Mus musculus: one gene and its partner. The protein of the gene in region 2 purifies or fractionates together with the protein of the main gene of each other region. This does not show direct contact. Links are inferred from orthologs where the notes say so. Each region holds a gene or a part of one and is shown on either strand. Other genes may lie near its edges.

Region 1 (8,304 bases), on a different chromosome or scaffold from region 2:
TCAGTGCTGGGATTAAAGGCGTGCGCCACCATGCCCAGCTGTTTTAGTGCTAGAAAAGGAGAAGTTGCTGCTCATAAAAATCTGTCACTCTCCCTTCAGTTTACAAAAATTATCTTTAAAATACTTTTTAAACAGTGTGTTTTGGTCATGTTTTTTCTACTCCCTGACCCCTCTCAGATTTTCCCTGCCTCTCTACCCACCCAACTTTATGTTCTTTGTCTTTCTCAAAAAGGAAAATCAACTGAAATTGAAGATCAAAAAACCAGAACAAAACAAGTGCACAGAAAAACATGGAGTCCATTTTACAATAGGCCTATGGGAAAACCTACTCCTCTTATCTGTTAAGGAGAGAGTGGGGGCCGACCCTTCAGTTTTTTTGTCCTCTCCCTACCCTTTCTTATCCTCTGTTCTTCCTTGCCAAGCTGTGTTCTCAAAAATAATTTGTCTGTATTGTGTAGCACAAACCCTGTCTCTGACTACCCTCAGCTCTCCTAAGGGGAACCACGGGGCCGGGTGTTCATGATTTCCTATAATTACATAGGAACGCGGTACTGTTGTTTGCCCGCTTACACGTTTAGGTTTGACAGTTTTATACACATACAGAAAAACTGTAGTCACTCACACCCTGTCCCCTCTCTCATCCTCTCCTGCTGAAACCCTTCTTGCCAGTGTGTCTCCCTTCTTCTGTCATCCTGTGTTTGTATAAGGGGGCACCATTTCTAAGAAGAAGAAAATGGTAATTTTTTGGATTGGATGTTCAAACCTGCAGGTTCCTGCTGGCCATTGTCACAGTAATTGCCAGCTTCCATCAATAAATTGTAACTCAAAAAATATTTCAATATCATGTATACTTTATCATAATTAGTTCAGGATAATTAGCATAGCTATCACCTTAATGCTTTTTTCATGGTAAAATCACTCAAAAAATCTTCTTTTCTGGCCTTTTTGAAATACGTTCTACATTATTGTTAACTTTAGTTGCCTTGTTATTTAGTTCCTAAGTTAAAAGTGAAAATCAAAATGCACACAACTATTATCTGTAAATCAAAAACTTACCAAAACTTGAGACAATCAGCAATATTACTACTTAGTTAATTAATGCTATTAAGATCCTGGATTTTAGGTATGATAATGTCATTATTCTTATGTTATCTTTTCTTCCAGAGCATAAGGAATTCTTGCAAAAGTAATCAGGTTTGGGTAGAGTTTGCTTCAAGGCATTTCTGCCCAGAGGAAGTAAACAGGCACACAGACTACACAAGACCTGCCATTGGCTAAAGCACTCAAAATGGGCACTGACCACAGCAGGGTTCCTTGAATGACACTAAGATGTCGTTTCCAGAAATTCAGGATCTTACCAACAAGACTGCAGACTGAATCTGCCACACAGTCCCTGTCACAGCAAGCACCCCACCATGCCACTAGGATTTCATCTAACTCCTGCACTCCTGCCTGCTCTAAGGGACGATGGTTTCTCAAGTAACATTCATCTGTGGCCACACAAAGGACTCGTGTAACTCCACAGGAAAGATCACTTAGGTTAAGTAACGTTAGCTCAGCCTTTGAATTTATTTTTTACTCTAGTTCTGCCAGAATTTTCTACTTGCACATCCTAGCTAACTGAGTTTGGCTCAGTGACAACAGGGCTGCTAACACAGGGACACTAGAGTAGATACTTAGTTTAAATGTTTACTCACTGGACACTATCAAGCTTTAGGGTTTATAGAAACAAAACAAAATTGGCTAGCCTAACAGAACTCAACTTGACTTTTCTCTAAAAGAATGGAAGCATTTACCAGTGTGGCAGAGTAAGTGTAGAAATAAAGGAACAATCGAATTCTGTCCTATCTCTTACTCTCTAACCAGGCAGAGATAAAAGACCTACTGTTTGACTTGGCCGACCATGGATACACGGGCAGACTCAAGGTTTCGAATCTGGCCACTCTTCACACTAGTAAAGGAAAATAAGGAAGGAGAGGTTACTCTGCATTCATCTCAGCACAACATCAGAAGGAAGGAGTAATTTTGTAGATTGCATAGGATCAAACAAAAAGCTGCAGTCACCATGTGCTTCAGCATGAAGAAAACTTTATACAGACTTATAAAATTATCAATTGGACTAATGAATATATTCATGATTGACAGCCTTTAACAGAAGCCATGGGTAATTCTATCAGCAATTTTTATAATAAACTATTTACTATTAGGTTTTTATCATAAACACAAATAATTCTAGAGAGAGGAATCTCCACTTGCCCTGCTCACTCCAGAACAGAAACTCCATCTGCTATTTCTTTATCATTTTATGTCAAACACAGAAAGTGGATGTAGAACCATGGAGCTTCAGAGGAGGAGGCGGCCTTGCAGACCACCTGGTCTAAGTCCTCAACTTCAGGGCAAACCCAGCTGGACAGCAGGTGGCCTGCGACCACTAATGTCCTAGGAGATGGTATATTAGGCACACTTTACAGAGGACTGCGGCAAGTATGAAACATTTAAAAAATACTCTGCTTTGAACTATTTCCTTACATACTATCACAGAAAGGGAGACTCACCTGTTTATCTTAGTACCTGAGCTGACTTAAAAATAGAGGGAGGATGGGAAGGAGGGAGGCAAGGAGGGAGGGAGGGAGGAAGAAAAGAGAGGCGGGGCAGGTTAGAATATAACATTTAAAATTAAGTCTTAGGTTTGTGGGTTACCTCCATTCAATAGCATTCTCCAAAGACTTGAAGGTTTTAGGTCGACCACGCAAGAAATTCTGCATGCTATTAAGTGCATCCATGGCGGTACCTGAAACAAAATTTTAAATATATCAATAAACTTTTTCGTTTTCTTGCTTTACAAATTGTACTAAATATTTCTTTTCCCTTTTTAGGTTAGTACACAAATCCTGGCTCCATCACTCCTGCCATACTTTGTTGCTGGGTGCTCACACTCCCCTCCCTGACTACTCCTTTCACGCCCCGCTCCAGCTGGCTTTCCTTCTCCCCCAGTTAAGTCCCCTCTTCTGATCTCTTATCATATATAACCCATTACCCTCTCACCACCTTAAGATAGTGTCCTCCTCTCACGATGATCTTTTATAGCTCCCTCTCCCTCCCTCCCTCCCTCCCTCCCTCCCTCTCACACACACACAATTTTAAATTTACTTTCCACATATGAAAGAGAACATGGGAGAGTTCTCTGAGGTTCCTCCTTTTTTTTTTTTTTTTTTTTTGTTTTTTTTCAAGACAGGGTTTCTCTGTGTAGCCCTGGCTGTCCTGGAACTCAGTCTGTAGACCAGGCTGGCCTCAAACACAGAAATCTTCCTGTCTCTGCCTCCCAAGTATCTGAGGCTCCTCCTTATTGGAGGAAGTGTGTCACTCTGGAGGTGGGCTTTGAGGGCTCCTAATGCTCAAGCCCCGCCCAGCACAGAAGAGAGTAGAGGGTCTCCTCCTTGGCTACCTTCAGATCGAGATGTAGACCTCTCAGCTCCTCCAGTACCATCTCTGCCTGCACACTGCCATGCTTCCACCATGATGATAATGGACTGAACCTCTGAACCTGTAAGCCAGCCCCAGTTAAATGTTTTCCTTTATAAGAGTTGCATGGTCGCTGGGTGTGGTGGCGCACGCCTTTAAACCCAGCACTCAGGAGGCAGAGGCAGGCAGATTTCTGAGTTCGAGGCCAGCCTGGTCTACAAAGTGAGTTCCAGGACAGCCAGGGCTATACAGAGAAACCCTGTCTTGAAAAAAACAAAAAAACAGAAAAACAAACAAAAAAAGAGTTGCTTGGTCGTGGTGTCTCCTCTTAGCAATAAATCTCTAAGACACATAATGATTTACAGTTTCATCTGTTTTCCTGCAAATGTCATGATTTCCTTTTTTCTTTATGGCTGCATAAACTTTCTTTGCACATATGTATCACATTTTATCTAATGCATCTATACTGGATATCCAGGCTAGTTCCATTCCCTGGCTATTGTGAACATAGCAGCTTTACAATGGGTGTGTCTCTGGTATTCTGATTTCTACCAAAACAGGTAGAGTTGGGTCATTGGTAGTTCCAATTTTTGAGGAATCTCCATACTGATTTCCAGTGTGGCTACATTCCAGTCAGCAACGAGTAAGGGTCCCTCCTTCCTCATATCCTTACCACCAAGCAATCATTTGTTTTAGTGATGACAGGAATCTTGACTAAGGTGCTTGAAATCTCAAAAACAGTTTTAATTTGCATCTCCATGATGATTAAGGATATGAAATAGTTTTTCTATTCTTTATTAGCAATTTGTTTTTCTTCTTTTGAGAACTTTTTTTTTTAGCCCATTCATTGACTAAATGATATCACCTTCTGGTGTTGAATTTTACATATACATTAAATATATATATGTATGTGTGTGTGTGTATACACATATATTTATACATACTGTATTTATGTATACAGTATATGTTTTTATATGCTGGATATTAATATATTTATATATTGGATATTGATCTCCACTATGATCTAGCTTTCAGAGATCCTTTCCTGCTCTGAAGGCCACCGTGGACTTCCAGTGGTTAATTGTTCAGATTACTTCCTGTGCTATTGGAGTCCTACTCACCCTTGCCTATGCCTGTATCACCATGTGAACAAAGCTGCTCATGTTACTCTTCACATTCACAATGACGGGATGCCATTACTTGTACGGGCAGACTCCTCCCCAAAAGGTTCACGTGTGGATGGCTTGGTCACCAGCTGTTCACACTATTGAGAGGTGGTTAAATAATGAAGATACTAACTTCACTGATAGAGTATCTATTGTTGAGTGCATACTGAGCAGGCTGTTTGGAGGCAGGACCTACTTAGAGGAAGCAGTAACTCGGGGCAAGCCCTGGGAGTACAGTCTCCCTCCCTCTGTATGAAATGCTGACTCTCCACATCCTAAAAGAAATGGACCCACTAGCCACAGACCCAAACCTGACACTGTGGACCAAAAACCTTTCCTCCTTTAAATTGCTTATCTCAGATATTTTGTCACAGGGGCAAAACTGTCAAATTGAGTCAACTCTATATCTTTGCTCCTGGTAACAGGAAAATTCAGTGATACTTGGGTAAAAGTAAAGATGCAATTTAATAACATTGCAAGAATTAACACAAGCCAGCTTCCAATATGAGTCTCAGCAATTCTTGACTACTGGTATTCACTCCTTGTGTGGCACACATCAATAGATATAGCTAACCTGTACAAGCAGCAGTGAGATTCTCAGGGTAAGTCAGAAAATTAAAAGCAGTTTCTTTTTAAATGGAAAACTAAGAGACATACATGCACATGATTAGAAGTATTATTCAGCCATAAAAAGGTATTCTTGAATAGTTTTTGGTAACATGAAAAATGACTGTATAATCTTTTATTAGATATTTTCTTCATTTACATTTCAAATGCTATCCCAAAAGTCCCCTATACCCTCCCCCTGCCCTGCTCCCCAACCCACCCACTCCCACTTCTTGGCCCTGGTGTTCCCCTGTACTGGGCATATAAAGTTTGCAAGACCAAGGGCCTCTCTTTCCAATGATGGCCGACTAGGCCATCTTCTGATACATATGCAGCTAGAGACACACGCTCTAGGGGTACTGATTAGTTCATATTGTTGTTCCTCCTATAGGGTTGCAGACCCCTTCAGCATCTTGGGTACTTTCTCTAGCTGATTGTATAAAGACACAAAGACATAGGGGTACACTTCAAGATGAATGAAATTGAGACTAAATTAAGGCCAAGGTAATACCATACCAGGGGACCTCCTACAAATGACTGAATCTGGTTTGATCAGTACTAAGAAAACTTACCTTCTACAACATCAATCATGCAAAGGCCCAAGAGGCTTGGTACCAGGTTAGCTGCGGCTGTGTGCACTGCAATGGCGCCACCCATGCTGTGCCCAATCAGCATGACTGGAGGAGGGAGGTCTCCATACATGGCTTCCACCACATTGCCAACATCTCTGCAAAGAAAGAGAAAACTGAGAGTGCTGGAGGAAGACACCAAAAATAGCTTGCTTTCTCAGTTTCTTCTGTTGGACTGTAACTAAACGTTGTGGGAAATGGTAAAGACTCACAGGGCCACTCTACAAAGACACCTATGTAAGCCTGCATGCACGGTCCCTAGTATCTATGCAGAGAGCAACACACCTAGTTCTCCAGATAAATGGCCAGTTAAGGACTAAGAACCCCAAATTTCTGATCTTTCTTAGTACCATCCTTTTATCATCCTACAAATTTAGTACAATCATATAAATATACAACTGTATGTTAATTTAAGCTTGGCATTCCGGAGAAATAATTTACTCTAAGCCTCTGTTTTTCCATGAATAATGCAATAAGGCTTGGGGTAGCAGCATACGATCAGCCTCTGTATGAGCTATATCAACTTCACTAGGAGCTTTTTTCTGTCATCTAACATAACTTATTTGTTTTACATTTGTGTGTGTGTGTGTGCGCACATGTGGAAGTCAGAGGACAATCTGTAGGAGCTGCTTTGAGAAATGAGTGAGAAGTGAATGTAAACTGTTATCCAAAAGGTAAAGTACTATTCAAATGAAAAGACTCAGCTGAAAAGAGAATTCAAAAGTTAAAAAAAAAGAAAGAAAAAGAAAAAAAAGAAAAAAAGAAAAAAGAAAGAAAATCCAAGTTTCCTTTACAGCAGTGTTGCTTCAAAAGACAAGATACCTTGGGAAAGGCAAAGTGTTACTTAGTGCAAAGGAAAAAACTAAAACTTATTCAGTGTAGCTGTGATTAACAAATGCCTTTTTCAAATTCATATATTGTAAAGTATAATTCTTTGCAAGTTTGCAGTATTTCTGTTGGAAAAGCAATCATTGATAAAAGTTAAACATTGTGCTTAACTTCGGTCTATATTCTTGTTGGCTTTTGTTCTAGAGAGTAGTAGAAAAAGGTAGGACTTACAAAAGTGACTGGGCCATAAAACTGCTTTATAGAGTAATGAAGGAGTGACTGTTATAAAGAGCGTTCTCTCTGGCTCACAGCTATCTCCTTTACCATACTATAATCCAAGACTAGTATCTGGCTCTAAACTGTGAGCCTAATAAACTACTGTAGTGATGCAGCAATGTCAGGCAAGGACCTGTCATGCACATGTGTCATCTAATGTCATTCTTCCACAACCTTGTCTGAAAGGGTCCTTTCTACTATTCTCTAAGACACTCACTCAGACATACTTATCAACTGTAAAATTAGCCAGCAATTAAATTCATTGGGTCTACCAAAATAACATTGTATTTCTACCAAAATTACAAGGAAAAAAGCTGCAAATTTCTGCTACCACATTAAGGATAATTAAAGCCCCTTTCCTTGGAATCCAGCACTATGGACCCATAAAGTCAGCACAGTTCAAGAACAAAGGTGACTTAGATGAGGAGAAGTCTTTAGAACAAGTAACATAGGAGACTTACACAGCTTCAGAAAGGAAAGCCAAGTCATATTACTATATATCAATATGACAGAGCAGAAAAAAACTGTATGTTCATTCCTATGTAAAGATATATATGTACTTACACATAGACAATTGGCTCAATTAATTAATCTAAAGCCATGTGGGGTATGATTCTATTATTTAGGGGCAAATCTTTAAAAAAATAGATTAAAGTTTAGAACAAATATCAGTGTATAACTTCCAGAAAAATTCTCAATTCTAGTAAAATTTTAGTTGATAAGGATGAAATGAGTTAAATAAAATGTTCTGGAAGACATTAAATTACACATCTTAAAATACATATTAACTGAGTTAGACATTTACTATGAAAGTTGTAAATGTATGAAGGTAGACCGGGTCTAAAATGCATAACAGGGCTTGGAGAGACAGCTCAGTGGGTAAGAGCACTGGCTGCAGCCAGGCAGTTGTGGCCTATGTCATTAATCCCAGCACTAGGGAGGCAGAGGCAGGTGGATCTCTGAATTCAAGGACGACAGCCTGGTCTACAGTGCAAGTTCCAGAACAGCCAGGGAACACAGAGATACTCTGTCTTGAAAAACAAAAACAAAACAACAACACTACACTAGCAGCTTTTCCAGAGGTTCCTGAGGGACCAGGCAAACATGTGGCAAACTATCTATACCCATAAATAATAAAAATATTTTAAAGTATATTATATGTCTAGGTTTTACTGCTAAAAATACTGATTCAGCAGGTCTGGGGTCTGTCCAGTGCACTTGCATTTTTTGCTATATGACCCTGATGAGTGAACACATTGAGAAGTATGGAATATACACTACTTGACTTAGAGGCCCAGTTTCTAAGCAGCTATTCTTCCATAGCCTGCCTTCACTTT
Region 2 (8,304 bases):
GAGGAGCCTGGGGTCAGACCATGCACAGGGAGTGACAGTCATTTGCCCCCACCACCTCCCTAAGGGAGGTAACTTTGTGGGGGTTGGAGGGTGGACACCAGAGGCCGGCAATGCTTCTTCTTCCAGCATCAGGCAAGAGAGAGAACTGGGGAAACAAGAACAATACGCCTCAGAACCACACCACATTCTCCAACCACATTTCTGAGTGCTGCCCCATTCCCCGGAGCCCTCACCCTTCTGCCAGAGGCTCTACACTCTCAGGCCCTTACCAGTCAGAGCCTCCTGGGCAAAGTACTTGACATCCACATCCTGGTCCTGGGTCAGCTTCTCCAGGATGGGCTTGACTTCACTCTGCAGGGTGCTGGAAAGTGAAGGGAAAAGAAGATAGTGAGATAGTCTTGCCTTGGATGGATGGATGTGTGTGTGTGTGTGTGTGTGTGTGTTCGGGGGTGGGTGGGGTGGAGGAGTTGTGCCCACAGGTAGAAAGAGGGCTCCGGTGAAGGTAAGTATCAAGACAGGAACACACCAAATCATAAGGCAGAGTATAGAACATGAACACACAAAGCATACACATGGAAAATTCCTGATCTCTAGGCTTGTAATCAAATAGTTAAGCAGGGAAAGCTCTTGGGTTAGCACAGGACATGAGCAAGTCTGACAAAGTAGAGCCCACAGGCCTTGAAGCTGAGCAAAAAGATTCCTTTAGTGACTGAATCCATGTTCACTGAGGTATTGTATACTTAGTATGAATACAAAAATATATCACTCTAGATTCTTGCTCAGATAAGCCAAGACTACAAGACAAGGCCAGTAAGTGGCAAGATGATCAAAGGCTTCTTGGTTTTAAGGGGCCTAGAAGTGGCATATACTCTTTATGTAAGGAGACATGGAGGAATATGCCTATCCTGTAAGGAAGGAAGACAGACCTTGGAGAGAAAGGCTGTGGAGCAACTATGAGACACACAGGCATCAAATGTTGGCAGACCGCTCCTCTATCCTCCATATAACCACTGTCTTCATTTCTACCTCCTAGAGTTATGCTTTTGTTGTTATTTGCTTGCTTGCTTTGTTACTTTTTGGGAAGCAGGTCTTTCTATATAACTTTATGTTATCTCAAGCTACATATCCCATCCTGGTCTACAACTCGACCCTCAAGCATCAACCACCAGAGTGTGCTGGGAATTCAGCAGCTGCCTACCACTGTGCCTAGCATTTTGACTTTTTCCCTCGAATATTCTTTCTGCCCCCCAACCCCCCCCACCCCGCACTCTTTGCATTCCTCTTCCCTGCTGTGTGTGTGTGTGTGTGTGTTTGTGTGTGTGCGCCCAGGCACATGTGCATGTGAATGGACACCATCTGTATGTCTTCAGAAGCCCGAGATGGGAACTAGAATTAAAAGCATGAGTGATCTTAAGTACACATGATGTGAGATAAGTCCAGGCCCTCTCAAGAGAAGCTAGTGCTCTTAACCCCTGAACCATTATCTCTCCAGACCCATATTAACTATTTTAACTCATACTCTGTACCAGCATTTGGATTATTCTTTCTTATGATTATAATATATAAGCCCACCACATTTTCAAGGGGTTGAGGGGGTAGCAACACTGAGTACTGTCTAAAAGCAAGGGCTGGATTAGGGTCTACATCTAGCTAGCTGGATCCTTCCAGTTAAAATGCTCATCCTATCTGCACTACAATTCCCATAGCACGATGTTCAGCCGAGTATTTCAGCTGTAACCTGTGCTATGTTAACAGCGTACACTGCAGAGCACCTAGTCGATGTCCTCACTGAGCATGTGAAGACAGTACTTTTAAACTGAAACAAAAGCACAAGTTACCTCATTCTCATATTTTCACATATATTAATTTTGACTACCTTCCTTCCTCCCCTCTCTCAACCCTACTTGTAGCTCTCATCTTCCCATACTCCCACTTGAATGTCATATGCCATACTTTCCTCTATGTCTTCTTCCCATGTGTATCATGGGAATTCTTTATCTTCCTATATATAGGATACTAGAGGAGTTCTTTATATAGAAACATCTCCACACTGTCAGGTTAGCCTTCTGATACACAGCTTTTCATTTTCTTGAGGGCCATCTTATCAATCACTTCTTTTGGCATCTTAGCAGGTTTATGTCCAACTCAAGACATGAAGACATTCTATATTTTCTACATGTTTTATTCATCATGCTGGTTCTAGCTCAAAAACTAATTTGTTTATGTAGAGGCAGAAATTCTGTTTGGGTTTATGTGGGCAACCAACTGATCCAGTCAGTTTTAGAAGACAGACACTTAGCCATCAAACTACAATGGTACCAGAGTGCTCTAGAAAATATTCTAGTGAGACATGAATATCCTGTCCCTGCCCCATGCTGTTTCTAAATTATGTGTCAGGTAGACTTGAGGTGCATAGTTTTGTTCTTTAGGATGTATGGGCTAGCCAAGCACTCTGCATTCCCAGGCCAGTTCCTACTAAAACTCTGCTGATATATAATGGCCTCAAATATAAGTACAGGGAATGAAGACTATATGTTTACCAAAGCTTCCTGTGGCAGTGCTTAATAGTTTCCCTAGAAATGTTAAGTATATTTCATTACATGTATTTTTTTTTTCTTCTTGTTTTTTGAGACAAGGTTTCTCTCTATAGCTCTGGCTGTCCTGGAACTCATTCTGTAGACCAGGCTGGCCTCGAACTCAGAAATCCACCTGCCTCTGCCTTTCTTTTTTCATTGTACTCTAGAGAAATGAATTCTTATTCTAAAACAGAGAAGATAGACTTTGTGGAGAGGAAAGAACAGGCATGGGTCACAACGCATAAAGAAATCAGACCCTGAGTTCTGTCTTTAAATATCTAAGATGTTTAGAACCCCCAGACCTCACCTGTTATCAAGAATGGGTCCTATCTTCTGGAGTGACTTGGCCACATTGAAGCGGACATTGGCAACTGGGTCCCCTGCCATACGAAGAACTGTGGGCAGCATGTGCTTGGTGGTGATATCCTGTCCACAGACCTCAGACAACACCTGAAAACCAGTGAATGGCAGAAGTACAGTTATGCAAGGCTTACTGCTAAGTCCCCATATATCTTCTTCTGAATATGCTGCCTGAGTCATCATCAGGACCCAGGAGCAACATGGAAGGGTATGGGTCTAGAAGCATGACTGTGGGGAGTTCTAAAATCCCTAACACAGTCTTCACTGGGGATGTTTCAGACTTTATATCTGGACTTCCATCATTCTCAGCATTTGAGAGGTCTGGATTTCTATCCCCTGAAATGCCACCTTCATAACGGAATCTCGAAATTGTAGCAGAGGAAATAAGCAAAATGTTTACTTAAGATTGTTTCTAACCCATCTTTAGCTTCTAGCTTGTGTAGGATTTACATGTCACTAAACAGTATAAGAAGTAAAACACAACTAAAAATGAGTAGTAAGTATATTCTGACACAGAATCAGAACTGTTCTATGCTCTCTATTATTACATTATTTTTCACATCCTGTTGAAAACCACCATAAATCTCAAAAGATGAGAAAACCAAACTACTAACTGGTTAGGTCCTATGATGTGTGACAGAAGCATGTGTTCTCCTTCCCAACCAGTAGAGGTGCACAGAATATGAGGCTGCTGCTCTCATACAGAAGCCTCCCAAACTTGGATCTCTCACCATGCAATCTTGGCCCTGTAGAGACCCGATCAAATACTGCAGATTCAAGCATTAGCCTGCAGTCCTCAGAAACTTATCCTTAGTCATGTTTCTATTCCCAAGCCAAACATCTGGGTAGACAAAGGGTCTTCCTCCACCTTCACATCAGCAGCACTCCCGTTCCCTGGGATCTATAGGCAGTTGGGGTGCTCACATTGATGCAGAAGAGTGTAGTCATTCGGTGCAGGTAGTTAGGGTCTCCAGACATGGCTAAGACCTTGGGGATGATAGTGGCATGGGCCCACTCCTTCCCGAACTTCTCTACTAATTTCTTAAGGTTGCTGGTGGCAGCCTCACGGATAGCATAGACTGCAATGGAGACAGAGCAAGGGAGGTGATTCAAGATGAAGGACTGAGCAGGAGGGCATTAACAGCTACACACATATCAGCAAATTCAGCAAAAACAGAAAATAGCACTTGCTATGTTAACCTAGTTTCTCTTTCTCATACAGCACCTTTTGGCCACCTACAGAGGCAGGCACCATTTGCCTCATTATTCAGAAGGATTGATGGTTGAGGCTCTGCTAATGTAAATTACACTTTAATACATACTAATTAAAACTGGTAGAAAAAAAAACAGTAAATTTTTTAACCCCATTAATAAAAAACAAATAATGTGTTTCACAAGGGCTGAGAGGCCATGGTAAGAAGTCTTCATGTTTTGGAATGAGCGTAAAGATAGAAGATGGGAAGACACTTGGTATGTTTCAGCAGACTAAGGATTCAAACTCAGGTCTTCTGCATCCACCCATAACCTCAACCCCAATCTACACTATGGCTTCTTAACAGCAACATGTAAGCACTGACAGCAGAAGAATGTCCTAATTATCTTTCTGTCTTTGGGGTTAACCTATCCTGCTGTGTTGCTGGGGGAACTTACCATGATCCACTAGCCAGGCCATACACAAAGAGTTTAGTTTCTCATCAAAAAATTCCACACCCTGCGGGGAAAAAAGATTGGTAAGGATTTGAGGGGTGAGAGGAAGGATGGAAGGGAGGGCCTGGTCCCAGAGAATCATGCAATTCTCAACCCCACCTGATCTGCTAAGTGTTCTTGTTCTGAATGAACCCCACTCATCTGCTAAGAGTCTAATTTCAGAGTAGAGTCCTCTCTGCATGGGCAGCTGTCACTGCCTACAAGAGGTATCTCCAAGTCCCTTGTTACAGCAACACAGCCCTGGTACTGGGGATAGGACTGGACCCTATACTCTTATCACTTCAGGACCAGCAAAACCTGGATGGATCCTCACTCACAAGCTGTCCAGCCAGCAGAGGCATGTATTCAATGATGGCCAGCCGCACTCGCCACTTGGCATCTTCAGCTAGTTCCACGATGGCAGGAAGCAGGGACTGAGAGAGCTGCCTGATGCCAATCACCTCGTTCACACAATCCAGGTTGGAGATGATATTCAGTCGGACTTCAGGACACTTGGAAAGAAAATAGGAAGGTTGAGAGAACATACTACATACAGCAACCCTAGAAGGCTGAGAGGAGCAGGCAAGAGCTCTTTCTGGGTATTGTCCTATAACACAAAATATCCACCTCGTCTCAAGAGTAGCTGAGGCTCTGCAACGTGAAATGGGAGCACTTGATAAACTGAAAGAAGTACCTAGTGTCTGGAACACAAAGGAGTGAATATGTTGGGAATATTTTCTATCATTCTCACTTCTCACTGACACAGAATCCCAGACCTTTGGACATGATTTCTTGAGTAGGAACAGCCTATGAGTCATGGGGACAAATCTGCATTCACCACCGTAGAAGAAGCCACAGTATAATCTACCAAAGTGCTCCATTAAAGAATGCCAATGGATAGCATCCCACTAGTCTGGCTTCCCAGGATCTCTGGCCATCTCTCCTATCTCTCACTAACACTGGCTATATTTTCCTAACAGAAAGATCTCTTGCAGCTGCAGCACTTGCCTACAGATTCAAATCCAATTCCCTAAACTGTTACTACAGTGCACAGGCAAGTATGGTGACCAGACTGGCTATGGCCAACAGAGCATGTAGAAGACACAAGCTAGAGCTATTTCAGTGGAAACATGAAGCTTTAAACTATGGCGCACTTCTCCCAGTACCTAGTTTCTGAGTTGAATTATGGGACAATTTATCCATCTGTCCTCTCTACTGGCACATTCTATAGATCCCTAAAGATCACCATTGTCTTGGTCTTTGTTCAACACTCAGGGAACGGATGAGTACAAAATTAAAGGCACATGAGGCATGTCTGACAAGAACGAGTGAACAAGCAGACACTTTTGCCTGTCATCAACTTATCAAAGCAGAGAGTGTAGAGTGTGGTGCCAAACTTTTAAAATACTTTTGGATAATTTGATTGACTTTGAAAACCTTCCTGCCACTCTTACCTCATCCTTCAGCTGAGCCAAGAACAGGGGCAAGAGGTGTTCGATGGTGTTGTCTTTGCCCAGAATGGGAGAGAGGCCCATGATGACTGAAGCCAGTGCTGACTTGACATGTTGGTTGGCATCTGACACAAGCTCCTTCAGAAGAGAAGGAAGGAGGGAGCCAAGGTCAGAAAAATCCCCTTTAATGATAACTGGCCACATAGACAGTAGCCCCAATTCTAAGACCACAGTCTTCTGCTTTTCATAGGCAGGGCATCTCAGGGCTGCACTACATTTAAAGAGATGGTTATGTGAGCCCCGATCCTGGGGCCACTGCCCTATTCCCCAAAACTCTGTGGATAAGGGAACTCTGGTCTCTGAGCAGTAAATACATCCCTTAGATCTGAGGGTCAGTTTCAACCTTCAGATTTTGCCTACAGCCTAATCCATGACTGTTAAACAGTTACAGTATCTCAAAAGGCCTTGGATCTGATTGTATCTAAAACCAAATCCTACAACCAAATACTCTATTACCTTGATGCAGGGCAAGATCTGAGTCATGATCACATTCTCCCGGCAGTCAGCTGAGAGATTTTCACAGAACTCTGTGGGCAGGGAGAGGAAGGTATTAGTGAGATTTGATGCTCTGGGCCCATTTCTGCCTCTTAGAAATCCACCCATCTAGTTGTGTTCTGGTTGTCAGCACCAACCTTTGACCTTGTGGGAGGCTGCGGCCCTCACCTCGGCCTCACAGTCCTTCATCAGGTTCTGGAAGGCAGGCACCAGATCTGTCTTGGTGATCTCAGGCCCCACTGCTTTCTGGAGCTGTACAATAGAGAAGAGAAGCAGAACTGAAGAGTCTGGCAATCACTCAGGGCTAAAGAGGCAAAAATGGAGATGAAAGCACCAGAATAAGGTTAGGACGCAGCACAAGGGACATAGTTCCAGCATGATGACACGACCAACAAGTGAAGTCGTCACGTCTCTGATGACTTCTTCAGAAACAGAATGAGGGTTACAGGACATTCTGCACAGTATGTTTTCCATTTATTGCCCAGGTTATATGAGGTTGGATTTCTTACTACCTAAACACAGTAAGTGGTCCCTGATTTCATCTAACATGAAAATATGTAAACATAACTGAATTTTATTAAAATTGTTACAAGAAGTTGGTATCATTTTTGCAATGAAAATGATTAAAAACAGTGAAGAGGAAAACACATGCCAGTAACAAGGATGTAGGAAAAGTATGTGGATGAGTTTGCTTCAACTTGGTTGTTGGAAGAACAGTTGAAAGCAGGATGACTCTACTACTAAAAGTAATGACGTAAACACCTTGCAGGGCCTTGTACTGTACTTATGAGCTGTGTGCTGTGGACAGACTATTATTTCCATATCCCATGACCCTGTCGTCCAAGTCACAGTGTCAGCCTACTTCTTCTACACGGCCAGATCTCAAACAACTTCACTAGACCCAGGAATACATTCCTTAGGGCTGAGTCTTCCATGAGAGAGCTCTTCTCCATCATTTCTGCTCCTCTGCTCACTGAATTTCAGCACCCAGCCATGAATGCTACTTCTTACTCAGTCTCTTATCGCCTACATCCTCTGCACAGGCTTATTGTTTTGCTCTAAGTATCACAGAGCCGTCAAGAGAAACAAAACACAAAATATTCCATTAGAACTAACTTTTAAAAAAAAAGATTTATTCATTATAAGTATGTGAGTATACTGTCACACTCTTCAGACACATCAGAGGAGGGCATTAGATTACGTTATACATGGTTGTGAGCAAACCTGTGGTTGCTAGGAATTAAACCCAGGACCCCTGGAAGATCAGTCCGTGCTCTTAACCTCTGAGCCTTCTCTCCAGCCCCCATCAGCACTTTCTATTGAAGCTGACTTTTAGCTTGCTCCTTGAAGACCAGGAATGTGTGCAATTAACTCACTCCAGAACCTCGACCAAGGACAATGCTCTTAACTACAGACTTGGGAATATGGCCAACAGGAGAGCACTTGCCTAACATGGTTAAAGAACTGGGTTCAACTCTCAGAATTAGCAAGAAGGGGGTGGTGGGGAGTACATGCTGTTGGCTAAGAACATTTGGATCTCAGCACAAACAGCATATATGTCCCTGCTCTGACTAGCTTGTGGTTGCTGCCACTATCACTGGGGCTGTGTCTTTCTTAGAGAGGTTATAAGTTTAGGGAAAATGCTTTCATGGAGTTGAAACTTGGCTTCAGAATCA

What was found. Proteins that work in one complex are often made in the same cells at the same time.
Region 1: the proteins of Ppp2r1a (region 2) and Ppme1 purify together in Homo sapiens (affinity purification with mass spectrometry; 11 studies listed by BioGRID and IntAct, with this or other methods). This does not show direct contact. The link is inferred for Mus musculus from reciprocal best matches to the Homo sapiens genes PPP2R1A and PPME1.

The regions. Positions count from the first base shown.
Region 1 is NC_000073.6:100,339,146-100,347,449, forward strand, and holds part of Ppme1 (protein phosphatase methylesterase 1), read right to left. Parts: intron 5,962-8,304; coding exon 5,807-5,961; intron 2,792-5,806; coding exon 2,701-2,791; intron 1,952-2,700; coding exon 1,886-1,951; intron 1-1,885. UniProt on the Homo sapiens protein: Demethylates proteins that have been reversibly carboxymethylated. Demethylates PPP2CB (in vitro) and PPP2CA. Binding to PPP2CA displaces the manganese ion and inactivates the enzyme.
Region 2 is NC_000083.6:20,957,296-20,965,599, reverse strand, and holds part of Ppp2r1a (serine/threonine-protein phosphatase 2A 65 kDa regulatory subunit A alpha isoform), read right to left. Parts: intron 6,881-8,304; coding exon 6,766-6,880; intron 6,661-6,765; coding exon 6,590-6,660; intron 6,212-6,589; coding exon 6,077-6,211; intron 5,135-6,076; coding exon 4,961-5,134; intron 4,648-4,960; coding exon 4,587-4,647; intron 4,016-4,586; coding exon 3,861-4,015; intron 3,027-3,860; coding exon 2,884-3,026; intron 362-2,883; coding exon 270-361; intron 146-269; coding exon 129-145; 3' UTR 1-128. UniProt on the Homo sapiens protein: The PR65 subunit of protein phosphatase 2A serves as a scaffolding molecule to coordinate the assembly of the catalytic subunit and a variable regulatory B subunit.